Linked DNA regions of Canis lupus familiaris. The protein of the gene in region 4 interacts with the protein of the main gene of each other region in a biochemical or structural test. Links are inferred from orthologs where the notes say so. Each region holds a gene or a part of one and is shown on either strand. Other genes may lie near its edges. The genes, in order: HNF4A, PPARG, TGS1, NCOA6, ESR1, RXRA and THRB.

Region 1 (3,500 bases), about 8.1 Mb from region 4:
ATATACATTGATTCAGTGAATCCTCATAACAGTCTTAGGGGATTATTATGCTCCCTATTTCACATGCAAGGAAGCAAAGACATGGAGAAGTAAACTCCTACAGCTAACGTCACACGGCTAAGATGTGGGCAAACTCAGACTTAAGCTTGGCAGAAGGACTACAGAGTGTGTGCTCTTGACTGCAGCATGATGCCCCCTCCAGTTCTCAGTGGGGTGTTCCCTAGGAATTCAAGGTCGGAGTCATAGATATATGAAAACATGTGTGCATATGCCTGCATGGTGTGCATATGCACGCATTTTTCTGAGGAGATGGTCCATGGTGTTTATCATCTTCTCCAAGAGGTCTATCCTTGATGGAAGATCTGCTTACAAAAGTATGGTTCAGCTACTGAAAGTTAAAAAAAAAAAAAAAAAAAAGGCAAAAGGCAAACAACCAGACCAGTTGAACTGGTTGCCTTTTACAGGTAGGGACACTGAGGCCTAGGGGACCTGAAGCAAGGAAAAGAAACTTGCCCAAGGTCACAGGTGAGTTAGGGGCAGCATCTGGACTAGCACCCAGGACCCTAAGCACCTCATCCACGATCTTTGCCACCTGCCTCTTATCACCCTTCTCATACAGATGCAAGCTTTTGCCTCTGAGACAGGTGGTATTTGAAAGATGCCCAGAACCTTGCCATGACCCTCCCAGGAGGACAAATGGGCCATTATGTGCGTCTTCCCATTCCCTGGGAGAGTTTTCAAGGCCTCTGGGTACATTGAGAAATGAGGGACAGGACCTGAGCAGGTTCTGAGCAGATGATAGGGGAATATTTGTCCCTTCCACGGCACCCTCTGCCCAGTCAGTTGGGGTCCCTAAGAGTCAGATGCATCCTAGTGGGTGGCCAGGTTCTCATTACTTCCCAGAGGAAACGGCCTTGCAGCCTCTACCATGGAGAAGCACACCCTCGCAAGGGACTCTGAAGCCATGTCACAACCATCACTAAGTAATAGATGCAAAATAGGAGTTCCAAAATGCCAAGGGACTTGCTCAAGGTCATTGAGGGAGTGGGAACAGCACCTGGGTCTGGATGAGGCTGAAGCCCTGTGGTGGAGATCCCCACAATGCTCATATTGGCTTCTGGATCTAAGCCATCAGGGGAGCAGAGCCTCTGGGAAGTGAATTCCTGCCTGTCCTGAGGTGTTACTCTTGTTTCCTCTGGTGCAGACACATCCCCATCCGAAGGTGCCAACCTCAACGCACCCAACAGCCTGGGGGTCAGCGCTCTGTGTGCCATCTGTGGGGACCGGGCCACAGGGAAACACTACGGTGCCTCGAGCTGTGACGGTTGCAAGGGCTTCTTCCGGAGGAGCGTGAGAAAGAACCACATGTACTCCTGCAGGTGAGGAGCCCCTGCTTGGAGCCCGATTTCTCTAGCTGGGAAATGGGTGCACTGAGGCTAATGATATTCCCCAGAATCTATCTTCTCCCTGACTGGGTCCCAGAAGCATCTGCCTTCTGAGGCCTTTAAGCTTCCTCTGCTTTCTTGTGCCTCAGGGATCCTGATGGGAACATCCTCTCTAGGAGCCTCACTCATAAAGCTACCAACTGCCCTTTATTGAGCACTTACTATATGCCAGATATACTGAGTCTTTGTGTGTATTTAACTGGCCCTACAAGCCCATCATTATTTTTCCTATTTATTTTTTTAAGATTTTATTTATTTATTCATGAGAGAGAGAGAGAGAGTGAGAGAGAGAGAGGGAGGCAGAGACACAGGTAGAGGGAGAAGCAGGCTCCATGTAGGGAGCCTGATGTGGGACTCGATCCTGGGACTCCAGGATCATGCTCTAGGCCGAAGGCAGGCGCTAAACCACTGAGCCATCCAGGGATCCCTATTTTTCCTATTTAGCAAATGAGGATCCATTTGGGATCAAGCTTCCTCTGAAGCTTCAGAGGATGGGGCCCATCCCCCTAACTTGGAGCTTTTCCTGGGGCCAATCTCTGATTCTTAGAGTCCATTGGGCCTTTCTACCTATCCCAAGGACTTTCCAAGGCTTCCTTTGACAACACCTCCCATTCTGAGTAACAATAATAAAATAATAGCACTCAGTTATGAGTAGTTGTCATTTACAGAATGATGCTGTGCCAAGTCCCATCCACATATTATCTCATTTCTACCCATCAACACGCCTCTGACATGGTTGCTGTAGATGAGGAAGCTGTGGCTTGGAAAGGGCCAGGAATCTGTCCAAGGTCATCCAACTTGAGTTAATGGCAGACCCATGTTGACGCTCAGGGTGCCACCCTTAACCACTGTGGGGTACTACTACTGCTTACAGTCCCCTCCAGAGAGTCACTTCTGTGGACCAAGTATGGACTCTGAGCCATAACCAGGAGCCTGCTATGGGCTCTGCACTTTCCTAGAATGTTGTAGAAAGAGTTGTCCCTGGTTCTCAAGGGGCTAGAGGTTCCAGCTCAGTTTTGCCATCAGGTTGCCATCCCAGACTTCGTGTCACCTCTCTGAGCCTCAGCAGGACAGGGCTAGAATTTTGGAGTCCATTGGGCCTTTCTCATGGTTAGCATGAGTCCTAAGGCAAGGAGGCAAGGAGGCTGGGAGTCAAGGCTGGGATGGCCAGGATTCCGTTCAGGCGGGCTGTCCCTTCTCCATCCAACCATCCATGCCCTCCCCAGGTTTAGTCGGCAATGCGTCGTGGACAAAGACAAGAGGAACCAGTGTCGTTACTGCAGGCTAAAGAAGTGCTTCCGGGCTGGCATGAAGAAGGAAGGTGAGCCCCGGCCCCCCTTCCACCTCACTGCCCCACCCCCACCCATAGTCTGAGGACGTTTACAACTGGGGCCACACACTTTATGACTCGGTGACAGGCCCCAGGGTGAATGGCTAATGGCTGAGAGGAGGGAGGGCCTGGCAATCTGACCACAGGGAGGGGCTGGGCTTGGTCTTGAGAAAGAGATAAGCTCTCACTCTGGGCTACTCAGGTTCCCAGCCGCCACCACCACCATGGGCAGCCCAGTTGGGCGTTTGCTCTAATATACTGTTTCAAACAGGAAGAGAGCCGAAGATGACATTGCCGATGCCCCTGTGCCCACCACCTAGACTCAGCCAATGTGCACAGTGAGGTGTGGGTGGGGGGAGCTCTCTTCCTGAGCTTCCAGTCCCAGGGATAAGTGCCCCCCCTTCTGTAGTCTTCACTCTTGAGTATCGGGTGACCCCAAGTTTTCACGTTCTATGGCGTGGGAACAATGTGTCAGACTTGCCCTGGGTGGAGGCAGAGGGGAAGACCAGAGCACAATAGCTGTGAAGGTCTCCCCAGGCCTCCCTTCTTCTACCAGCAGATGCCAGCCACTGGGCTGGGCTTTGATAAGAGTGACCAGTGACGTGGCACCCTATGTGGCCACCACTATTGTCATTCCCTTTTTTCCTGGATGAGAGGACTGAGGTCCAGAGTAGTTCAGCAGCTTACCTGAGGCCCCACAGCTGGTCAAGACCTGAGGTCTGCAC
Region 2 (3,500 bases), on a different chromosome or scaffold from region 4:
AGATGAAAACACCCTGTTGTCTCACAGGCCCATAAAACAACATTGCTTGCTGGGGCGCCTGGGTAGCTCAATTGGTTAAGTGGCCAACTCTTGATTTCAGCTCAGGTCATGATCTCAAGGTCCTAGGATAGAGTCCCAAATAGGGCTCTGTGCTCAGTGGGGAGTCTGCTTCAGGATTCTCTCTCTCCCCCTCTCCCTCTGCCCCTCCCCCTGCTTGCACACACATACTCTCTAAAATAAATAAATCCTAAAAAGCAAAACAAAACAAAACAAAACAAACCCAAAATTTGTTCAAAAAAGTCCAGAATTATCATGACTGTTTCTTGTGTAAACCTGCCCTGGCTAGCAACTAATCATCTTCGAATAGCTTATTTCAAATGTTTCCTTTAGTATATCTGTGGTGGGAATATAAACTCATAAATGTTGTGGTGAACAATGTGGCAATGATGTAACAAAATATTTATAATCATCTACCCAGCAATTCCACTTCTGGTACTTTAGAATGAGAAAATAATTTGGAATTTCAACAGAAATTTACACTTAATAATGTTCACTAAAACAAAAATTTAGAACACATTTTTGATATTTTCTATGTTCTTGTTGATAGGTTTTTAAATTAGCAATCCTAAGTAAAGAGATTGGGCAGCCCTGGTGGTGCAGCGGTTTAGCGCTGCCTGCAGCCTGGGGTGTGATCCTGGGGACCTGGGATCGAGTCTCACGTCGGGCTCCCTGAGTGGAGCCTGCTTCTCCCTCTGCCCGTGTCTCTGCCTCTCTCTCTCTCTCTCTCTCTCATGAATAAATAAATAAAATCTTAAAAAAAATAAGTAAAGAGATTATTTGGTATATAATGGTCCTTTTTAAAATGGAATATTTTATAGTCATTAAAATGGTAGTGTGTATACATATATATGCTAGCACATGGACAGAAACTTTTCAGGAGGAGGAATAGGACTTTGTTAATCTTATTTTATTCTGAGGACAGAGGCCTTTAATTTTCACTCACACTTTTCTGTACCCTTTGAATTATGAAATGACCACGTATTACTTTTATTTTCAAAAATTAATGAAAAATATTAACAAAGAGTACATAATGACGTGGGGAAAATGACTGAATATAAACATGGAATATATGGTATGCTCAGGAAAAAACTTAGAAACATATCAACTGTTAATATTTCTATTTTGCATTAAAAATAAAATGTGCCTAAAAAAAATAAAATGTGCCTCAAATTATTAGCTAAGCAATAACAACCTGTTTTCTCATCTAGTGCTTCAAAATTTAAGTTTCTTCTCCTAATGCACCTCAAATAAACTAGAATCTTATTCTTCTTTGCTGAATTGATCATGGATCCCAGAGGATCGAGGGGTGATCTGTTTAAGTAGATTCAGTTAAGGTATTACAACATGTTGGACAGTAGTTTTTGTTACATTAAATATAACCCCCCAAACACCATTTTTAAAGGAGTTACAACTTGACACTGCAGTGGAGGCTCCAGAGTTAACCTGGGCTGCACTGTCATCTATTTGCACCCAAGTTACCTAAAGGGCAGTATTACTGTAGACTCTGGAGCCAGACTACCGGAGTTCAGAATCCTGGTTCTATCCTGTGTTAGCTGCGTAGCCCTGGGCAAGTGACTGAACCTTTCAGGGCTCTGGCTTCCTCCTTTGCAAAACGTACTTTTCTTGCTGGGCTGGAGAATTAAGTGAACGTGTATCATGTGCTTAGGATACTGCTTAGAAGACAGTAGGTATTTAAGTGTTTTCTATCATTATTATTAGTAGTAATCAGGCACCCGATTTCAGAAGTATTCTGCTCTCAAGTAATTGGACAACAAAGGAGGACAGAGTACACCATGTTCTTTATAATATCTTATATAGTTTACAGTTTACATCTATAGGACCACCATCCCTCCCCACGTCAGCTTTTGCCAAGAGTATCCTCTGTCTGTAGAGTACACACAAAAAGCTCACCTGAAGTCCATTTCAGTAATGAAAACTCATTGCTTAAAGACAATTTTATACAGAGACATGACAGTAAAACTTTCTACATAAGCTGGAAATGTGTGGAGTAGCCAATGAAAGTAGCATTTAGTATAAAACCTGGCTTTGGAGTTGTCAGTTAGATCATGTACTTGCAAGGCCAAAAATACAATGAATTGCTAAATAACTCAATTTATTTCTCTGCTCTGTGCTCTCTGGTTCAGATTATATTTTTAATCACAGCCAACCACCTCACAAAGTTACTTTAAGGGAAGCCATCAGATAAATCTACCTGAGGGAATAGGTGGAAGTCAGTAGATAAATATTACTCGATTCCTGATATTAGGAAAGCAATTCAAAGTAATATCTTCCTGATGGTAGAGCAGGAACAAAATCTGCCCCAAACCACTTAGTTGTGCTCTCTCTATGCCAAGTGAGCACTGTGACTTAAGCAAAGTTGTACATGTCATTACTTAAATGAAATGAAGAATAGATTGGCTGGAAGGGAAGGAAGGGATGGGAAGGAAAGGGAAGGAGAAGGGAGAGTGAACAGAGAGAAGGGGAGGGGTGGGAAAAGACAGGGGAAAAGAAAATAAAAAGGAAAAAAAAAAAGGAGAAAAAAGAAGAAGAGGGCATTTGTTTTTCATGTTTGGATTTGACTGGAAAGGCTGGGGTTGCCCACAGCCTTCCAACAGCAAATCTATGATCTTCTCTCCTGGTACTTTACCTGTGTAGTGATGCTCTCATGGCATCATGCCACTGGCATATTTTTGCATGAAAGTGCAGTACAGAGAAAAGGATGTCAAAATTCTTCCAATTATCATACTGCTGTCCCACCCTCTTCCACGAAAGATCAAAAGATGCATCTTACCTCCACTGAGAATAATGACGGCTATAAATATTGCCAAGTCGCTGTCATCTAATTCCAGTGCATTGAACTTCACAGCAAACTCAAACTTTGGCTCCATGAAGTCACCAAAGGGCTTTCTCAGGCTCTTTAGAAACTCCCTTGTCATGAATCCTTGGCCTTCTGATATGAGAACCCCGTCTTTATTCATCAAGGACGCCAGCATCGTGTAAATGATCTCATGGACACCATATTTTAGCAGAGTTACTTGGTCATTCAAGTCAAGGTTTACAAAACCAGGGATACTTTTGGCGTACTCTGTGATCTCCTGCACGGCTTCCACTGAGCGGAACTGACACCCCTGAAAGATGCGAATGGCCACCTCTTTGCTCTGCTCCTGCAAGGGGGTGATGTGTTTGAACTTGATTTTATCTTCTCCCATCATTAAGGAATTCATGTCATAGATAACAAATGGCTGCAAAAAAAAAAAAAAAAAGGGAAGTGGCTGAGTTGGAGATCTCTAATTCAGGGTGAATCCCATTCCAGTTTCTTTATACACATTTGCTTCGCTAACTAAAATCTTTAAGGTTGAAGATACTTAATGAGAAAGTACTCTCATCTCCTGATTATTGCTCCTAATTGTCTTCTGGAACCAAACATATTTTACCAAGCT
Region 3 (4,074 bases), on a different chromosome or scaffold from region 4:
AGAACGTCCTCCAACTTCTAGCTAAAATCTTCCCCTCTGACAATTACTAGTCTACCTTTTTTTCTTAACCTACCCTCAAACCCCAGAGGCTGTACATCTACACTGGTGTATTTGTTGTTAATTGTGCACCACTCTAGCCCTGAGTCACTGAAAGGAGCCTATCTCAGACACTAAAGTGAGGCAGCAGCAGTAAGGACGTGGAAATAAACATTTCACTTGAAAATCCATCTTCCATTTCCATTCAATAGTAAATGCGACCAAAATAGTTGGGACTGTCTTAAATATCCGGATTTTAACTCAGTTTCTATACATTTTAACGAAGTAACAATGCCATTCCGGCATTAATAGCACAACCAAGTCCTAAATGCTCCAACCACCTTCAAGTTTGAACTTGTCTCTTTGAGGGAGCTGCGTGGACCGTCTCAACGACTAGCACACACCAAGTCCTAACTGCCTTTCCCACACCCAGCAGGGGCGGTCCAGCTCCCGACTTGCTGGCTCCGTGCCCTTGCATCCTCCCCACCCTGCACCAGCAGCTGCGGGCAGAGCCCTGTTTTAAGGCTGAAGACCCCGGGACCAAGGGCAGCGCCTGGGGCTTACAAAGCAGCTGTCCCCTAACACCAGTCACGGTGCACGAGAGGTCTGCGGGACACGGCTTCATCTGGTCCTTCCAGCAGCCCCAGGAAGCAGGCGCCAGTCGACGTTCGCGTTCTCCAGACTATCACGGAGGCTCAGAAGGGCTCGGTCGCTGGCCCGGATCCCACAGGTAGCGAAGGAGCATCACACCCGGACTCAAGCCCGGCGCGTCTGGAAGCCGCCTTAACCACCCATCTCCGCTGCCTCCCGAGTGCACACGCCCGTCATCACCGCGAGGCTCGACTCGGATCCGGGAAGAAGGTGGCCGGGCCAGCCCCGAGACCCCTGCCGACGTCGCGACAACCCTGCCCCGCCGCCCAAGCCGAGACCAAGCAGGGCTCTGGGGCGCGGGGGGGCGGGGGATGCGCGGCGGGGTGAACCGGCTCGTTGTGACCCAGGCATATCCAGCCCTCCCCGCCTCCCCACCGCCCGGCCTTACACCGAGCACCGGGAAGCCCGGCCCGCCCCGGGTCCCGCGGGGGACTCCGGGGGCTGCCCGCCCCCCCCCCCCGGAACCCCCCCGGAACCCCCCCCCGGAACCCGGAGCGCGGCCTGGGCGTTCCGAGCCCCGCGCCACTGACGAGCGACGTGCGCCCGGCGGGGAGGAGCGCGGGGAGGCCGAGATGAGGACCGACGCACCTCGGGGGCGAGGGAGCGGGGAGGGCAGACGCGGCTCGCTCTCACCCTCGAGCAGCGGCGGGAGCTCTTCGGTGGCTCAGCGACCCAGGCAAGAGGAGAAATTTCAGCAGCCGGCTTCCCCGCCGAGCAGCCGGTGAAGAACAAGACGAACCACGGCTGCAGCCCGGACAGCGCAGAGTGTGACACCGCCTTCGCCCCGCCCCTTCCCGTGGGCGCCCGGAGCCACTTCCGGCGGCGGCTTCTCGGCGCCCTCCAGGCTCGAGCGGCCCCGGGCGGGTTCGTCACCCCTGACATCCCCTCGGGCGCGCCGGCCAGACCCCCTTGGGGCCTCCAGGAGCCGAGCAGAGGTCCGGACGGCCGGTGCCGGGCTGCCCCCCGCAGGGCTTCCTGCACTGAGGTAAAATGTGCTGCGAGAAGTGGAGCCGCGTGGCCGAGATGTTTCTCTTCGTCGAGGACCTGGAGGAGGATGCTGGGATCCTTTGCCTCTGCTCCAGGGCGTTTGTGGAGTAAGTCAGAGCCTATTCCCCTTCATCCCTGGCACAGTTGCTTCCCAGAAGCGTGGGCCTTGCAAACGACTCGGAATTGGGATCCCCGCCCCGAGTGTAAGATTTGCACAGGGTGATGTTTCAGGAAGAGCCCCCGGACCTCACGGACAGGTCGCCCACTGCCCCTAAGTGAAAGAGAACATCTGCTCTGTGGGCTGCTGTGGGGAAACGTGGCAGCTGGTTTATTCCGCTTTATTGCGGGGGCGGGGGGGGGGACGTTTTAAGATCAGGCGAATGAAATGTAAGATGAAATCTTAGTGGATGTGACGTCACAGGTTGAAGGCTTTAAGGTGACTTGTTGGTTGACATTTTTTAAGACCTTAAGTCTTAGTAAAGTGCAAATGCGCTTAAAAAGAACTTCTAATTACCCGAGATAAAAGACTTAATTATAATCACGTCAGTTTTGGAGCTATATTCTTGGAAAATACGTGTTTGAGGTAAAAATTGCCCTGCATGGAAGAGAGCCAGTGAACAGGAAAAAACGGACTCAAGGATTGGACTCTAGGGAGGCTTTCTTTGTCTTAGGTGTGTAAGTTTAGCCGCTTGGATCTTTATTTCATCCCTAGAACAGGTATTTCGACCCCAGTTATCACACAGGCTGGTGGTTGGATTCAACTTGTGGAAGCGAATTTTGCGTGCTAGACTTCTAATATACGTTACCGTGGAAGAATTTAAGTGAGAAGACGTTCTTGCTGTCGGTCGTGCTTTGTGGAGTAATCGGGAAATTGATCCAAAGGGAAATTAAACGCTATCTTTAAAAAGTATTGTCGTCTTTGTATGTATACATGCATATATTCACTCCACAAATGTCTCTTGTGCTTCCTTGTATGAGGCACACTGGTAGGCACCCGGGTGCAGGACACAGCCCTCCCTACACGCTTTGAGTTTACTTTCTAGCAAAGGAGGTCGATATTAAGACAAGAGTTACATAAGTATTTAGCTAAGCACTGTTGTAAGAGCTGTAAGAGAGAAGCGCAGCTATATATGATAGCAAAAACCTAACGTTTCTCCACAGATCACAGATTTCTTTGAGGAAGTAGCATTTGAAAAGATGTCTAAAGAGTGGGAATAAACTGGGGTATATTTGAGTGGGAGGGAGTGACGGGCAGAACTCTGTGTACAAGGAAAAGAAAAAGAAAGCCAAGGCTACACACTTACTTCTTAGCCTGAAGCTGGGTTGAGTCTTGGGATGGTCTTCAGGAAGCCTCCTTTCCAAAAAGAAGGAGAGGGAACCTAAGTTAGAAACTGTAAAAAGTGGAGAAAAATTGTCTTGCTGGACTCCTGCAAAACAATAATACTAGGTTTTAATTAAAGCACCTTTATTTAAAATACACTTTAGGGATCCCTGGGTGGCGCAGCGGTTTGGCGCCTGCGTTTGGCCCAGGGCGTGATCCCGGAGACCCGGGATGGAGTCCCACATCGGGCTCCCGGTGAATGGAGCCTGCTTCTCCCTCTGCCTGTGTCTCTGCCTCTCTCTCTGTGACTATCATAAATAAATTTAAGAAAAAAAAATAAAAATAAAATAAAATACACTTTAATTGCCATGCAAATCACCAATTACTTTGAATTTAGTCCTTTTTTTTTTTTTAAGATTTTATTTATTCCTAAGAGACACACAGAGGGAGAAGCAGGCTCCCTGTGGGGAGCCTAATGTGGGACTCGATCTCAGGACCCCGGGGATCATGACCTGAGCTGGAGGCAGACGCTCAACCACTGAGCCACCCAGGTGCCCCTGAATTTAGTCTTTTTGAACTAAAAGGTTCATCTTTTAAATTTCAGATAATTTCTTATGCATTCTTAAGACTTAAAAGCCCTACTTACTTTTAGAAGCTACATTCTGAATTCAAAATAGGTAAAGAGAAAATAATGGCTTTTAACTTTAGATCATTTAATGCCCAAATTATGACCCTTTAGAACGAAAAGAATGTGATCTTGGAATTATTTCTAATAGTCACTGAGAAGTCTTTGGGACTTGGAGACATGCTGGAAGTTCACAGGCTTATTTGTATAACCTTACCTGGTAGGGAAAAGGTCTCTTTCACAGTCTTAAAACAACAGATCAGTTGTTAGCAAAATTCTAGAATAGATTATTAAACGGAAAAAATAGTCCATGTAACAGAAAACAAAAAATGAGCATTAGCATAGGTGCCTAATTCCTTCTCAGTATTCAGTTGATTCTCATACTAAGTAAGGTTATTGTACACCTCTCCTCAAAGGCAGGAAATAAAACCTAATATCATAACTAATTTTTATT
Region 4 (4,092 bases):
GTGTGAAGATCACTGTAATCACAGCCGAGAGAGAAAAGAAGAGCTCCCTAAGATAAGTCTGGAGATGTGGCAAGGGCAACAGTAAGACATCTATTTGGCCTTTATCTTAAGAGCAATATGGACCACCAAATAGTTTTAAATAGAAGGGAGACATGATAAAATTTCTGACTTAGAAACATTAGTCTGACAGCAGGGTGGAGAAAAGATTAAAGGGGAGCCAGGGAAGATGTGAAAAGGCCTTGGATCACTATTGCACCAGTTCAAGCCCACAGTGTGTGCTCAATGGAATGAAAGGACTCCAGTCTCCTTTTCTGAGATGAGATCAGTATGCCTGACCAGTTGTTTACAACCCACCGGCTCATCTTCTCTCTCCTGTGATGCTCATGACAGACTCTTAGCTCCCATTTCACAGATGAATAAGCCGAGATTCAGAGGCAAAGAAAGTCACATAGCTATCAAGAGTGAAAGCCAGGGATCCCTGGGTGGTGCAGCGGTTTGGCGCCTGCCTTTGGCCCAGGGCGCGATCCTGGAGTCCCGGAATCGAATCCCACGTAGGGCTCCCGGTGCATGGACCCTGCTTCTCCCTCCGCCTGTGTCTCCGCCTCTCTCTCTCTCTCTCTCTCTGTGACAATCATAAATAAATAAATTAATTAATTAATTTAAAAAAAAAGAGTGAAAGCCAGTTCTGAATCCAGGCCTGTACGACAGACATCAATTCCAGTACTGGACATTTGGGGAGAGGGAAGGAGCCACATTCTCTTGCACCTACTGAGCTTACTAGCATGATGGTGATGGGAAAAAGCAGAGAGGGACTTATAGGCAAATAATAAAGGCTAAAGGTTATCTTTATCACCGTTAACGTTATTGGACACTATGCGTCAGGCATTGTGCCAAGTGCTTTCCTTGTCTTCATTTCCTCTTTGCAAGCACTATTATTATCCCCTTATTTCAGATATGTAAACTGAGGCTTGGAGCGCTGACTTGCCCAAGCACACTCAGCCAGAGGGCTCCTATAAGGCTGTGCACTACTCTGAAACGGAGCCAAGAGCCACTGATGATATTAAGGCTCCAGGAGACAGAAACTCTCCCGACCCGGGCACTAAGCTCTGCACGCAAGTGAGCGGGCGCGCGCTCCGCCTCGCGCTCTCGGGGACGTTTGGCCACGTGACCAGGGCCCGCCCCCGCCCGCCCCGCCCCCTCCCGCGCTCCCACCCTCTCTCCCTCCCTCCCCCTCCCTCCCCAGCCCGGTCCGGCCCATCCCCCTCCCCGCCGGCTCCCTGAGGCCCTGCCGGGTCGGGCTGCGGGCGGCCGGGCGCCGACGGCCGGACAGACGGACGCACGCGAGGACGGACTGACGGACACACGGAGGGCGGCGGGCGCGCACGGCCCGGGCCGGTGCTCCGAGGCCCGCCCGGGAGGGCTGGGGCCGCGCTCAGGTGAGGTGACGGCGACGCGGGCCCGTAAGGGGTGGGCCCGCCGGGCGTCTGGGGTCCCGGTCCCGCTGGCTCCGCGGGAAGGAGGCGCCGCCCGGGCCCGGCGCGGGAAAATGGCGCCGGCCGGCAGTGGAACACGGCTCCTGTGCGGGCCCGGCCCGGAGCCGCCCCGCCCGCCGCGCTCGTGTCCCCGTCGCCATGTTGGGGAGCGGGCCCCGGGCCTGCGGGCGGGGGTGCTGCGGGGAGCGGGGGCCGGCCGGGGTTGGGGAGGGTGCGCGACGCGGGGTCTAGGGCGCTGAGGAAGTGCAGGGCCGGCTGGGGTCTGCACGGGGTGGCGCTCCAGGCCAGAGGAACTGGCGGGAGCCGAACGTGGGGTCGTGGCTGGGGGTCGAGAAGGGACACTGAGTCCAAACGGAACTGGGGCCAGGGTCCTTGAGGCTGGAGGCCAGGACCGGAGTTTAGTCAGGCTATTCACGTTCGGGACCTCGGGGCCGGCAGGACCCAAAGGGGCGTGGGGTCCACGCTCAGGCTGTCAGAGCCGGGACAGTTCTTTGTGGAGGCGCGGAGGGTGGAGGGGGGAGGCTGTGATTAGAAATATTAGAAATGGGGGCCCTTTGGATACAGGCGCGAGTATGAGATTGGAGCGGTTCTCTGAGTCGCGGGGCCGAATTGCAAGTCGTCCAACTCCCAAGAGACTGAGGACATATGTTCCCCTAGCATGTTCCACTCCCAATTAGGAAGAGCAGTGGAAAATAGGAAGACTGATGAGAAGAGAGAAAAGGGAGGCTGCGGTTCGGGTGCAGGAGCTGGCCAGCATAGGGTGGAACTGGTTGGCAAGAAGAAAGAACCTCCGTCAACTTAGGGAGTTTGTGTGTGTCTTTAAAAGGAGGGACCGGGCTGTTTGTGGGCGGTGACCCAAGGTGTCTTCCCAGGAAGGGGACAGCCCACTGTTTTAAGAGCAGGGTCACCTGGGGAGGTCATCACAAAGGCTTTTTTTGAAGCCAGTGAGAATGGTGTAGAAAAATGAATGTGTGAATGAAAACTACAAGGGTCTTAGAGATCACAGAACAACTTCAGAACGTGTAAGGATTTTAGCTGAGCCAGATAAAGTTGACTCCTCAAGATCTCACAAGTTCCTGGCTCTGGAGGTCCACCGCCTTAGTGGAATTTGTTAGCTCTGAGAAAATTGTTAAGGAGAGCTATAGCAGCAAATATCAAAGAACGGTTACTCTGTTTTTGTTTTGGTAATTAGTTTGTCAGTAGAAAGACTGAAGAGGAATACAAAAAAAGTACTGGTAACCAGCTATTTGATCATTTCCAGCCTACCTGCATTTGTGCAAAGAAGTTATCTTCAGAACCCTTTTGACTTCTAACTTTTTAGAGTTTTAAGAGATGCTCCTTCTGTTCTAGGGGTTTACAGCAAAGGGACACCAAAAAGTGAAAAAGATAACAGTGAACAATGGTACACACCCAGGATTTCTATCTTGATCAAACTTTAATTGAAGTTTGATCAAGATAGAGAAGAGTTCAGAGTTCATATGGGTTATGGAAGAATTCTGAGGGAAACTATGAAATATTATGAAATAGTAGTTACAGGCTCCCATAAAATCAAAAAGGACTTTCAACAAAAAGGTTATGAAAATGTACATAGCAAGTAAGATTTTCAATATATGTCCAGTGCGTTTATACTATATATGTGTGTGTGTGTGTATATATATATATATATATACACACACACACCCCCACACACACAGCATCAAGATTCATTTGTTCTGGATCTTTTTTTTTTTTTTTAAATTTATTTATTTTGAGAGAGAGCGTGCGGGTGCTCATGAGAGTGGGGTGAGGGGCAGAAGGAGAAGCAGACTCCCCGCTGAGCAGGGAGCCCAATGTAGGGCTCCATGCTGGAATTGCGAGATCATGACCTGTGCTGCAGACAGAGGGTTAATCAACTGAGCCACCCAAGCATCCCTATTCTGGATATTTCTAATGCAAGAAGGCCTGACTTTGTGCAGTAGATCCCTCTGCCATCTAGTAAAACTGCTCAGAATGATAATAACCCCTCTCAGAATAATATTTTTAATTGAGTAAAACAAAATACACTGTATTATAGAGAAAACCATTATATTGAAATACCAAAATACACAAATTATAAAATAGTGATATAGATATACTTTATCAATACATTAAGAAATCAGATCTAGTGATGGGTGTGATAATTACAATTTTAACACATGGTGAACATAAATAATATTTTGAGATATCAGCAACAATTGTAATATAATGTAAAGATATCTGTGGTAACTGTGACACAGTTACTGTCATAGATACTGCTAATATTAGAGTGGTTTGTTGCCTACAATTTATATTTGAAGAAAATGGTAACTTTCAGTTAGAGGTTAGTGAAAATAAATAGGTGGGGTTTTTTTCCTATCCAAGTTCACAGACCCCTCTGAATTCTGTCTGTGGATTCCCATCTGTGAACCCCAGGTTAAGAAACCCTACTCCTACCACCAGGCATATCTTCTATTCAGCAGACATTTACTGTGCACTAAGATATTCTAAGCATTATGCCAGGCTCTAAGGATTCAAAGGTCTTTAAGGAAGGGTCTTTTCACTTTAGATATTCAATCTTATGAGAGAAATGAACATATAAACA
Region 5 (3,500 bases), on a different chromosome or scaffold from region 4:
GAAGGAAGGGAAGTTCTTGAACCACTTTTATACTTAAAAAAAAAAAAAAAAAAAAGACCTCCCTCCTACATGGCCATATGGCCTCTGTTCTCTTTTTAGATACAATGCTAACAGTGGGGAATAGAACCTTATTGGAATCAGTGGAAGGAAATCACTTGTATAGCAAATCCTGAAATGGCTCTTTAAACAGGGAGATAGGTTGGCCTACAGGTGTCTTTGGAGTTTCCCTTACTTTGGTCCCTGCTGAGGGGTTGCAGCAGCTCTAGGGCTTGCGCTACTCTAAAGTGGTCCCTCTGTGTGTCTTCCCACCCACAGTAACAAAGGCATGGAGCATCTGTACAACATGAAGTGCAAGAATGTGGTGCCTCTCTACGACCTGCTGCTGGAGATGCTGGATGCCCACCGCCTGCACGCCCCAGCCAGCCGTGGGGGTGTGCCCATGGAGGAGACAAACCAGAGCCAGCTGGCCACCACGGGCCCAACTTCATCACATTCCTTGCAAACGTATTATATCACCGAGGAGGCAGGGAATTTCCCTACCACAGTCTGAGAGCTCCCAGGCTACCCCAAGGTCCTGAGAATCCCTGTACCATTTTACCCACGTCATGTATCACAATAGCAGAGTTCTGCTCCTGCGCACACTCCAGCATGCATCCACCACCATGGCTTTCTAATATGAGTGGCCATTTGTTTGCTTGCTCAGTTCTTAGTGGCACGCCTTCTTTTGGGAACAGCCAAAGGGATTCCAGGGCTAAATTCTTTCACTCTCTCTCTCCCTTTGCTATAATACTAAGCATGAGGATTCTATAGCTTTTCATGATGGAACTCAGTCTATGAGCTGGGACTCAGGTGACTGTGCATTTAAGCTACTTGTTGAGACCCAGACCTGGAGAGTGGACATTTCATCTCTGTGAAGCACTTTTTAACAAATCTAAGAAAAAGCCACAGGAAAGACTTGAAAGTGGCCCCTTTAATTTGCTGACTTGGAGAAAGCTAGGTCAAGGGTTCATTATGGCATCATCTTGTATTCCTGTAGTAATGTAACATTTTATTAAAGTAATACCTTAAAGCTTTTGCTCTGTTGCATGGCTGGAGCTGAATATGCAGTGATTGTCTCTTCATTTGCCCTATAGGAATACAAGATGCCCACAGAGAAGGAAGGTCCCCTAATTGTCAAAACTCTGTCAACTTAATACACTGCACCTTCAGATTTGCTGAAAGCTCTTCCACTGGTTTTTGAGAACACTATGTACAGGTCATGGGTTCCAGTTAATTCTTGCTTCCCATGGATCTATGGAAAACAGCAAGTTGATCCCAGTTAAGTCACCTCCACATATACCAGTTTCCTTTTAAGGGATAAATTCTTGGCCTTTGTTTTTTTGTTTTCATTTTATGAAAGAAAGCCCTTTCCCCGCAGGACTTGTAAATCAGCTTCAGAACCTGTTCTAGCGTGGTCTCACAATTACCAGCAGAGGGCGCTCTGCTTGGTTCTTCCTGGTGTGTAACTGACACAGAAGGTCAATTAGTAATAGTGCCCAGCATATGACCAAGGGCAGTTTAAATGAGTGGGTACCTGGTGACATCGTTAGCCCTAGGGCACTTGGGTAAATAGTAAACGTGCACAATTATTGTACATATTAGAGAACAGGAGGAAAGTAGGGTGGAAACTAAAACTGAGAGGCTCACGGTGGCTCTGCCACATGCTGTAGCTTTACACAGGAGTGGCCCTGGCAGGCCCTGTGTGCACTGTGGGGCAGCCCTGGGATCCATGGGCAGCCCTCCTCTTCTTGCCCCCATGATTGGAAGGAACAGCAATAGACAAGACAGCTGCATTCCTACAGCTGGCCCTGCACGTGGTTAGGTGAGGCTGGAGGGTGAGGATAGGAGGCTCACTACTCAGGCTGCCTGGGATCTGGTCAAACTTTACCTGCTCTTGGTTGTTTAGAGCTCATCCAAAAACCACGGTTTGGTCTTGGAGAAAAAACTTTACCCAAAGCTCATTTCATTAAACTTCATAAGCCAAGAGAGCGAGATTAGAATTGGGCTATAGGAATCCTTTGACCTATAGGCTAAACAAGAAAGACTCACTCCAGCCACAGGGCAGCCTTCCCTAGGCCTTTCCTTCTCCAGATCATCTATGGTTTATCTTTCTTCTCAGTGAGTTTGGTTTCCTCTGGTGACCTCATTGTCTATAACTCAAACCCCATTGAGAAGTGATGGGTTAGCGAACAACCCAGCCAAGCTTCTAGGGCTTCTCTTGGGATGCCTGTTTCAAAAAATGGATTTCTTTCATTTTTGATTACTTAGTAAGTGATCACCAAAGGACTGGGAGCCTGGGAGGGCCAAAAAAAAGTTTTGTTTTTTTTTTTATATATGCGCATCTGAATTTAGGGGCAATATTGTGTATCTGCAGTAAGAATATGTTTAGAACATAATTCTTTTGTTGTTGTTTTGTTTAAGAAGCACCTTATATAGTATAATATATATTTTTTTTGAAATTACAATGCTTGTTTATCAGACAATTGAATGTAGTAATTCCATTCTGGATTTAATTTGACTGGGTTAAATGTGCAAAATCAACAAAAGATATTTAGTTTTTTTGTATAGCTACCTTGTCATGTATGCAGTCATTGATGCCTAGGGCCTGGTGATTATTCATTTTAATGAAGATCACATTTCATATCAACTTTTATATCCACAGTAGACAAAATAGCACTAATCTAGATGCCTATTGTTGGATATCGAACGATAGACAATCTTATGTAGCAGAGATTATGCCTGCAAAGGAAAATTATTCAGGGCAGCTAATTTTGCTTTACCAAAATATCAGTAGTAATATTTTTGGACAGTACCTAATGGGTCAGTGGGTTCTTTTTAATGTTTATACTTAGATTTTCTTTTAAAAAAATAAAAACAGACAAAAAAATTCTAGTACTATAGATGATGTAATACCAGCTAAATCCAAACAATAATGAAGTGGAGGGTTTTGCATTATTCATCTAATGTGTTTGTATTCATGTTAAAGATACTACTACATTTGAAATGGGCAGAGAACACCAGATAGTTGGAATGTTAGCACAGCAAAATTCAAATAATTTTAGATATCTCTTTTTATTCTTATTTGAAGTGCCACTAATGGACAGCTGACACTTAGCAGCTGATACTGCTGTTGGGGGTAGGGAACATGTTGAATTCCGCCCCCCTCCCCCACTCTGAGGCAATTTAAGTTTTGAAAGACGTAATCAACCTGGGGGGTTAGGGTAGGGTGGGGAAGTAGGTTCAGGAATTTCAAGACTGGGAAATACAGTAATAAGAGCCTTGAAATATTTTGAGGCAGATCAGTTCTGGCACCTGGAGTATGAACCAGAGTTCCATATTCCACTTGTGCCCTGTGAACTACAAATGACAAGCATTTCTAAAATGGCAGCTGGAATTCTATGGAAGAACAAGCGTCCGCACAATCTACGGAGTAGCTAGTGGTCTGGGTTTCTTTTGGCCAT
Region 6 (3,500 bases), on a different chromosome or scaffold from region 4:
ACAGGCGTACCAAGTGGAGACCCGTTTTTGCTGAGACCAGGGTCCTCAGTGCACATCCTGGCAGTGGGGCAGGAGGGACAGGTGAGCCAGGTGTGCTGGTGCTGGGCCTCCAGTGGGGGCCGGCAGGGAGCACCCCCCACCGAGCCAGCCTCCTGCCCCACTGGGCCACCTGCACGAGCTGGGTGCTGCCAAGTGCACCACCGGCGGAAGGCTGCACGACACCAGCTGTATGCCAGGCCAGTGCTGGGCGCTGCGGGAGCATCCCAGGGCAGCCCATGTGTGCTTGGGGCAGTGGGAGAGGTAGCAGCCGGCCCAGAGGTAGGAGGAGGCTGGGCATGCCCTGTGGGGGATGGATGGCAGGGAGACAGAGTGACTCCAGAGTGATCCGCAGTGGGGGGAAAATGCACTTGGGGCCAGCTCTGCCCCCGGCAGAACTCTTGTCCCCGGGCTGTCGGCCTTGGGGCCTGGAGAGCCTGTGGGCTTGGGTGCCTATGGGCTTGGGGGCCTGTGGGCCTGGGGCCTGGGGACCTGGGGGGCCTGGGGGCCTAGAGGCCTGGAGGCTTAGGGGCCTGGGGGGCCTGGGGGCGTAGGGGCCTGGGGGCCTGGGGGCTTGGAGGGCTTGGAGGCCTGGGGGCCTGGGGGGGCCTGTGGGCTTGGGGGCCTGGGGGCCTGTGGGCTTGGGTGCCTATGGGCTTGGGGGTCTGGGGGGCCTGTGGGCCTAGGGGGCCTATGGGCTTGGGGTCCTGGGGGCTTAGGGGGCACCTAGATGCCTGGGGGCCTGTGGGCTTGGGTGCCTGGGGGCCTAGGGGACCTGGGGCAGGGCGTGCCTTCTGGAAGAGCTTTCCCTCTAGCTGGGGCTAAATCCCCACACCCAGAGCCATCAGGGGAGGTGGTAGGGGCGGCAGAGGCCTGGGTCCTCGCCCTTACTCACCATATGACAGGGTAACCCCTACCCTGCCCTGGGCCTGTAGGATTGTAGTCAGGATGATGTGTGACAGGCTGTGTGGGGCCATGAGTCACGGAGCCCGGGGAGTGTGGCAGTGTCAGTGCTGCACCTGTGGAAGCGGCTTGGGGCTTCCCCGTCCACAGGACTCATTGAGATCCCAGCACAGAAATAATTTCTATTTCAAGTTTTGCTTCCATACTTTCTCGTAACCCTTGACACCCACCCCAGTTGTCTGCACCGGGATCTCATGAAAATACTGTCCGGTTCGCCTGAGGCTTTAACACACCTTATGTCAGTTTAAGAATTTATTCTTTTGCGGTGCCCCCCGTAGCACATGGGAGTCTGAGAGTTTGCTGCTGAGACCAGGTTGGCAGCAGCTGCCCCGTGGTGTTCCACAGAGAGGCCCTCTGTCCTCCATGGCAAGAGTGTCCGGCACTTGTGGGAGGAGACTTCCTGGGCACATGGGCTTGGGAGCACCTGGGTTGAACAGAGCCAGAGGGGATGCTCCGTGCAGGACTTCTTGGGAAACTTGTTGCCCTAGTTGGCATGTGGCTCAGAATCTCGGGGTCCGCGGCACCTGCAGTGGGGTGTTCTGTGCTGGTGCGGCCCATGGAGGGCGGAGTGGCCGACCCATCATGGGGAGGGACACAGCCACGTGACCGTGCACCCTCCCCTCCCCGCCCAGGCTGGAATGAGCTGCTCATCGCCTCCTTCTCCCACCGGTCCATCGCCGTGAAGGACGGGATCCTTCTGGCCACCGGACTGCACGTCCACCGGAACAGTGCCCACAGCGCGGGGGTGGGCGCCATCTTCGACAGGTGGGTGCCCCGGGCCAGGTTCGTGGAGGGTGTGGATGTGGACATGGAAATTGGCATACAAGGACACAAGTTCAAGCCTTTGCACGTCCATCCACCGGAGACTTGACGACCCCAGCGTAATGTGAGGGTTCATTTCCTCCCGGCTCCTTTCTTTAACATCCTGTATCCCGTACGTGGAAAGAGGCGCCGTGCTCCTTGGGCGGAGGTTATACAGCAGGTGCAGTCCAGCAGTGGCCCTGGGTCTTTGGAGCCGCAAGCCCTCGGCTGCATGTGTGCCACTGCTCCTCCTCCCCGACCGCAGGTGGGCGCGCGCCTCCCTGCACCCCTGCGTCCCCTGGCTCCCCAGCAGAGGGGCAGCACTGGGCAAGGGGGCGGCCGCATGTCTCCATTCTAGCTGCTCCCCAGCCACTCAGCCCGCTGGAGGAGGAAGGGCCGGGAGGGACACACTGTGGGCCATGGGGGCAGGAAGGTGGTGGCAGGGCTCCCAGGGAACCCCCGAGCGGAAGAGCCTGGGGTCAAGGGTGCACAGACCCTCCCGGGAATCACCCACAGGAAAGTGAATGCAGGAACTGTGCTGCCCTGCGGGCAGTTCTGGTAGAACGGAGAAGGAAGCCCTGGAGCCCACTGGGATGTGCCAAGTGCAAGTAGGGGTTGTGGCCACATACACTGGCAAGCACTGGTTTTGCAGGGGATAGGTGGTGTGTCTTTGTGCAGTACTTCTCAGGGCCTTGAGAGAGGAGCCACCAAAGGCTGCTGGGAGTATGGCACTTCAGTGCCCCCAGAGGCCCCTTGTAGAGAGTGCAGTGCTGGGATGGTACTTTGGTTTAGAAACGCAGCCCCGCCACACTCCCAGCTGCTAGGGCAGTAACAGGGACAGAGGCTTGGGCTTCTACCCAAGGAGCAGCGGCACAGGGAACCAGCTACTTGCCATTCAAGTGTGTGGAACTTGTGACCCCTGCCTCAGGGCATCCCCTGGCCACAGAGTGGTGGACATCCGAGCGCCCGTCCCCTCCCACCCTGTCTTCGGTCTCCAGGGGACCGTGTCCCTCTCCAGCCTGCAGACCCTCGGGGACTCTGGCTCCTTGGGGTGACCGTCCAGGCCCTCCCCAGGCCACTGTCCTCTGTTTCCCTATGGTCCAGCCTCACTGACCACTTAGCACTTCCTGGGCACAGCCATCGAGTTTGGGGAACCAGAGACTGGGCTGATGGGGTCGGGGAGCTCAGGCTGGGGATTTGGGACCCCATGGGGCGGGCCAGTCAGGCTTGGGTCAGAGTCCCGCCCTCTGACAGAGCGGGAGGGGAGCCCCAGTCCTGGGCTGGGCAGCATCCCGGGGGGTGGGGCCTGTCCTCCAGCTGCTCCCTGGTCCCCATCCAGCCTCCCTAGCCCGTCCTGGGGGTCTTTCTGGGGCGGGGGTGCCCTGGTGAGGGGCATGGTCTGACTCAGGCCGTGGTGTTTGCCTGCTTCCTCTGCAGGGTGCTGACAGAGCTCGTGTCCAAGATGCGGGACATGCAGATGGACAAGTCGGAGCTGGGCTGCCTGCGTGCCATTGTCCTCTTCAACCCGGGTACAGCTTTCCTGGCATGGCCTGCCGTCCGGCCTCGGGCCCGAGAAGCCCACTCGTGCTGCAGACTAGCCATGCCGCCTTCTTCTTGTGGCTCCCAGGAGTGGGACGCACGGCAGCCACTGCATGCAGCGGGGGGTGGAGGGCGGGGGGGTGGATCGAGAGCCGTGCTTG
Region 7 (4,180 bases), on a different chromosome or scaffold from region 4:
CCAACAAGGTCACACACTCATGGGCCAGCAGGAACCCAAATGTAAATGTCACCCCCTGAGTCCCAGTCCTACCAACTAAGTCTCTGGAAGAAAGAGAAAGAACCCCTAGCTTCAAAGAAAGCAGCTTTGGCCCTTACTGAATCATGATCTAGAACACGTGCATATAGTGGACATACACGTGCTTATCCACCCCTTAGTAATCATCTTAGCAAGCAGTTAGGGTCTAATTTGATATTTGTTCACATCTTAGTTAAAAGATATGGTGATTCATATGGAAAATGCTTTTCCCTCTTTAGAAGGTCACTGTCTTTAAACCTCAAGCACATGAATACTACTTAAATCACATTTAAACTTAAAAATGAACCCAAAAGCAGATTTGATTAGAAGAAAATGGTGAATGTACACTGTTTCCCACAAACTACCTCTAAGAGTGCCGTTAAGCACAAACGGAGGGGGAACTGCCGTAAGAGAGGGAATTCTTCATGAAAGCGTACCAGCACATATACTCTCCCTCGTGTGCTTATAAAGAAAACATAAAAACCGAATGAGCAAAGCTAAATTAAGCTTTAGGTCTCATGTAGATTAGTGCTAATGATGTAGAAAATTATCAGCTGCAAGGAACAAAACAGAACTCACAGACACCAGTGGTGTTTTCAGAAGTGGCTTTCCTTTCCTTGGCATGTTGCTAAAACCTGTGGAACCTGTGTGTCATTAGGAGGATGGTTGGAATCAGTAACATTCAACAGATTTAACCACCAACATTTGCATGACTAGATTAATGTTTTGGAGTCAGTCATCAGGCTCGTTACTACTGGGATTTTCTCTGGGTCATGCTAATAAACCGGATTATTGATTTTAGGATTTTCTGCGTATCCAAGGATATTGTCTAAGATGTCTTTACAATGTTTCATGCTTAAGTTGTCAAGCCACATGACATCGCAATGAGTAATCATTTTCTAATCACGTTAAAAGGGGTTAAAAAATGGCATATAAAATGAATCTTCCCAGATTCAGAGGAACAGGAGCATTCTTGCTGTTACTCTTCCAGCGGGGTGATGGTCATCCCTACCTGCATGCCATCTACCCCAGGAATTAGCTGCGTTCTCAGCTTAAGACCCTTTGATAGAAATCTGCTTTCCAATATGTTTGAATGGCAGGAGAGCCCAAAAGACAGCTCAATCTAAATAGGATTTTAGTACATCGGGTGCTATTCCAAAGTAAAGCAGGCTGGGGTTGCTGTGTGGTGGTGGTGTTTATTCATCTTTCCTTTTCATTTCATGCGTATGGATGGACACTTCTCGGCGTATATGCCCAGCTCTCAGGGTGTATGGGGCTGGTGAATGCATGTGTAGAGTGTGTGTATATGTAAAGTAGACACTGAGCCAGGGTAACAGAATGAACTACTGTATGCAAGAAGTATATGAAGTGCACCCAGCTGCCGGCAGCAATTGCTACATGCAGGCCACTGATTATTACACGTATTTCGAAGATAGTCCGGGTTACAGTGGTTGCAACGCTCAGGCTGTGCCCAGTAACAACATATATATGGAACAGGCCTGGGCAGTGAATCAGCCTTATACCTGTAGTTACCCTGGAAACATGCTGAAAAGCAAGGACTCTGACTTGGACATGGCCCTGAATCAATACAGCCAACCTGAGTATTTCACTGAAGAAAAGCCTACTTTTTCTCAAGTGCAGTCGCCATCGTACTCTCACAAAAAAGGTAGGGACCATTTTACTAAATTTGTTAAAAGTTTCCGTGTTTGTTTCTGTTGTGTTTTAAAGTTACAGTTTGCATCAGCTTTGTCAAATCTTTGACTTTAAGCGCTGTTTGAAATTAAAAACAGCAGTAAAGAGAGAGGTTGCTAGGTGATTGAAAGGGGTCCGTGAGCAATAAAGATTTCCAAGCACTTTTTTTTAAGCATATATGAGAGCTGGATTGAGCTGACTTTTTAAGCTGTGTGTGTGTGTGTGTGTGTGTGTGTATACATATTTAGATAGATAGATAGATAGATAGATAGATAGATAGATAGATAGATAGATGATAGATAGATAGATAGATGATAGATTGTGTGTATTGCCTAAAGTGAATAAGGTCAGTTTCTGTGCTAAAGAAAATATGTAAAAGGCTTCCCCTTGGTGGATAGGCACTGTGGCTTTTGAAGTGGGATAATTCTCCCCAGTTCAGGTTCAAATTAAAAACTCATTTGACTTTTTCTTGATATTTCATATTAAAAGTTCATTAATAAAATATTTTAGTGATTTTTAATGATCGTATACTGTTGATATATTAGGTTTTATAATTGTTCATCTTGATATGTTTACTGATCCATGTAAGCTGTGAAGAATCTACTCATGACCATATTAAGCTATAAGAATGTAAAACTCAAAAAGGAACTAATATGCTTTCTAATTCCATTTTGTCCCTAAAGTATTATGTGTCTGGAATCATGTTAAATGAATTCTCTATATGAAAGTAAGTAAAATACCCTTCAAAATATGCTAAGTGAAAACAAGTGCAAATCCATTTATCTTAATAGACACTGTAGCTTTACAGTGCTGTGTAATTTTCTATCAATGGAAAATTTCTTGTATACCAAAAAATAAAATAAAGTAAATAAGCAGGTAGTACACAGGAAACTCAGTAGCATCTGCCAGATACTTTGGAAATAGCTTAAATTCTATTCTATTCTTAAATATGCCATAAACTCTTTTTTTTCTGTGTACTATCTACAGGATATTGCATAGGAAACCAAATTTACAGGTTTCTGTAATTTGCAAAAATATGATGCCCTTTGATCCTCAAAGGTCAATTTCTCCATGAAATTATCTTAAAACAATGTGGCTTGGTTGATTGTGGTTCCTATAAAAATTATTTGTTTTTCTTAATGTGACTCTGTAATTAAAAGTAGCCTGTTTTGAAAACAAAGCCTAAAAAAAAAAAAAAACCCTCAAATTCCTGTTTAGTTTTTACCATATACTATGTTTGAATTTTCTGTCCTGTTCTCCAACTTCCAAATATGAAATATAAAGGGAATTATAGCAGAAAACATATTTAGAGTAATTTGTCTGCATTTTCCTCTAGTTTCACATCCTCTTGAAGGGTATCAGAATTTCTCATTTATCACATGGGGACACTACAGAAGTCCTCTAATGGGAATATTTGAGATAGGCTGAATGTGTGCTTTCTGTTTCATTTAATATTATACTTATAAGTAATTTATCTTTGAAAAGAAGAAGTTAACATTGCCTCATTAGACATTCCTGGATGTGCATTTCACAGTGTTGTGGGACCTCAAGACAATATTGGTGCCTGCCTCTCTATTGAGGCATTCTGCTATTCTTAAAAATTCCTGCAAAACTTTTCAGGCTCTTTTACTCTTTTGTTCTTTTGTCTTTACACGATATCTTCTTCAAGCAGGCTGGAGAATATTTGCTCATAAAACGTTAAACCAGATTCTTTGCTAATTAATTTGCCGCTTGAACTAGAGGCTAAGACACATTGTATGCATATATTGATGTAATTTCCCAAAGCCATATGCCATTGAAAGGCCACTGCCACCTGCCAAACTCACTAAATCAAAGCAGGCAAATATTCTTAAATGCGCCATTATTTACTGTTACAAGTCTCTAAGTAAATCCCAGTAAAACTAAACCCAGCTGTTAACTGTCTCTTTGGACAAAAGGTTGTACCCAACACGTTTATCCATATTGATCCATTATTGATTTTTGTTGTTGTTGGAGGACATCAGTAGTATCTCCTTAAGGCAAAATTAAGACTCTAAACAGGTGTTCAGTGGGGCAGACCTCATTATTCCGATTGGATTTTTATCTGTTTTCATGAAATTCGTAATTGTTTCATCTGGATTTGTCGCTGTCACTACGACGCTATAAACTCTTCCATAGTACAGCTGTCTTAACTTTGTCATTGTTTTTTTTAAAGATGGCTTATTCTTTAGCCCTTAATTGGAATTTTCTAGTATTTAGAAAATGATCATAATGCTTGTAAAAAAAAATGTACTGTCAGTACACATAGATGAAATAAAGGAAGACTACAGAATCCAATGTCAAGACTAGTTATCTTAATGGTAGACATTAGAATGATTTTAGTTCTCTTTGTGTTGTTTCTTGTGTGTTTTTACGTCTGTAGCCAAGCGAGTTCCTGAAGCATTGAGGGCAT

The links.
Region 1: the proteins of NCOA6 (region 4) and HNF4A form a complex in vitro, tested with the Homo sapiens proteins (2 studies listed by BioGRID). The link is inferred for Canis lupus familiaris from reciprocal best matches to the Homo sapiens genes NCOA6 and HNF4A.
Region 2: the proteins of NCOA6 (region 4) and PPARG interact in a test that uses a peptide from one of them, tested with the Homo sapiens proteins (2 studies listed by BioGRID). The link is inferred for Canis lupus familiaris from reciprocal best matches to the Homo sapiens genes NCOA6 and PPARG.
Region 3: the proteins of NCOA6 (region 4) and TGS1 form a complex in vitro, tested with the Homo sapiens proteins (2 studies listed by BioGRID). The link is inferred for Canis lupus familiaris from reciprocal best matches to the Homo sapiens genes NCOA6 and TGS1.
Region 5: the proteins of NCOA6 (region 4) and ESR1 form a complex in vitro, tested with the Homo sapiens proteins (4 studies listed by BioGRID). The link is inferred for Canis lupus familiaris from reciprocal best matches to the Homo sapiens genes NCOA6 and ESR1.
Region 6: the proteins of NCOA6 (region 4) and RXRA form a complex in vitro, tested with the Homo sapiens proteins (5 studies listed by BioGRID). The link is inferred for Canis lupus familiaris from reciprocal best matches to the Homo sapiens genes NCOA6 and RXRA.
Region 7: the proteins of NCOA6 (region 4) and THRB form a complex in vitro, tested with the Homo sapiens proteins (2 studies listed by BioGRID). The link is inferred for Canis lupus familiaris from reciprocal best matches to the Homo sapiens genes NCOA6 and THRB.

Annotation. Positions count from the first base shown.
Region 1 is NC_049245.1:32,510,052-32,513,551, forward strand, and holds part of HNF4A (hepatocyte nuclear factor 4-alpha), read left to right. Parts: intron 1-1,204; coding exon 1,205-1,379; intron 1,380-2,671; coding exon 2,672-2,766; intron 2,767-3,500. UniProt on the Homo sapiens protein: Transcriptional regulator which controls the expression of hepatic genes during the transition of endodermal cells to hepatic progenitor cells, facilitating the recruitment of RNA pol II to the promoters of target genes. Activates the transcription of CYP2C38.
Region 2 is NC_049241.1:6,222,751-6,226,250, forward strand, and holds part of PPARG (peroxisome proliferator-activated receptor gamma), read right to left. Parts: intron 3,303-3,500; coding exon 2,852-3,302; intron 1-2,851. UniProt on the Homo sapiens protein: Nuclear receptor that binds peroxisome proliferators such as hypolipidemic drugs and fatty acids.
Region 3 is NC_049250.1:7,736,830-7,740,903, forward strand, and holds the start of TGS1 (trimethylguanosine synthase), read left to right. Parts: upstream 1-1,274; 5' UTR 1,275-1,677; coding exon 1,678-1,781; intron 1,782-4,074. UniProt on the Homo sapiens protein: Catalyzes the 2 serial methylation steps for the conversion of the 7-monomethylguanosine (m(7)G) caps of snRNAs and snoRNAs to a 2,2,7-trimethylguanosine (m(2,2,7)G) cap structure.
Region 4 is NC_049245.1:24,403,259-24,407,350, reverse strand, and holds the start of NCOA6 (nuclear receptor coactivator 6), read left to right. Parts: upstream 1-1,292; 5' UTR 1,293-1,436; intron 1,437-4,092. UniProt on the Homo sapiens protein: Nuclear receptor coactivator that directly binds nuclear receptors and stimulates the transcriptional activities in a hormone-dependent fashion. Coactivates expression in an agonist- and AF2-dependent manner.
Region 5 is NC_049222.1:42,770,821-42,774,320, forward strand, and holds part of ESR1 (estrogen receptor), read left to right. Parts: intron 1-315; coding exon 316-550; 3' UTR 551-3,500.
Region 6 is NC_049230.1:50,625,113-50,628,612, forward strand, and holds part of RXRA (retinoic acid receptor RXR-alpha), read left to right. Parts: intron 1-1,631; coding exon 1,632-1,764; intron 1,765-3,237; coding exon 3,238-3,329; intron 3,330-3,500. UniProt on the Homo sapiens protein: Receptor for retinoic acid that acts as a transcription factor.
Region 7 is NC_049244.1:19,936,910-19,941,089, forward strand, and holds the start of THRB (thyroid hormone receptor beta), read left to right. Parts: upstream 1-1,380; 5' UTR 1,381-1,395; coding exon 1,396-1,723; intron 1,724-4,180.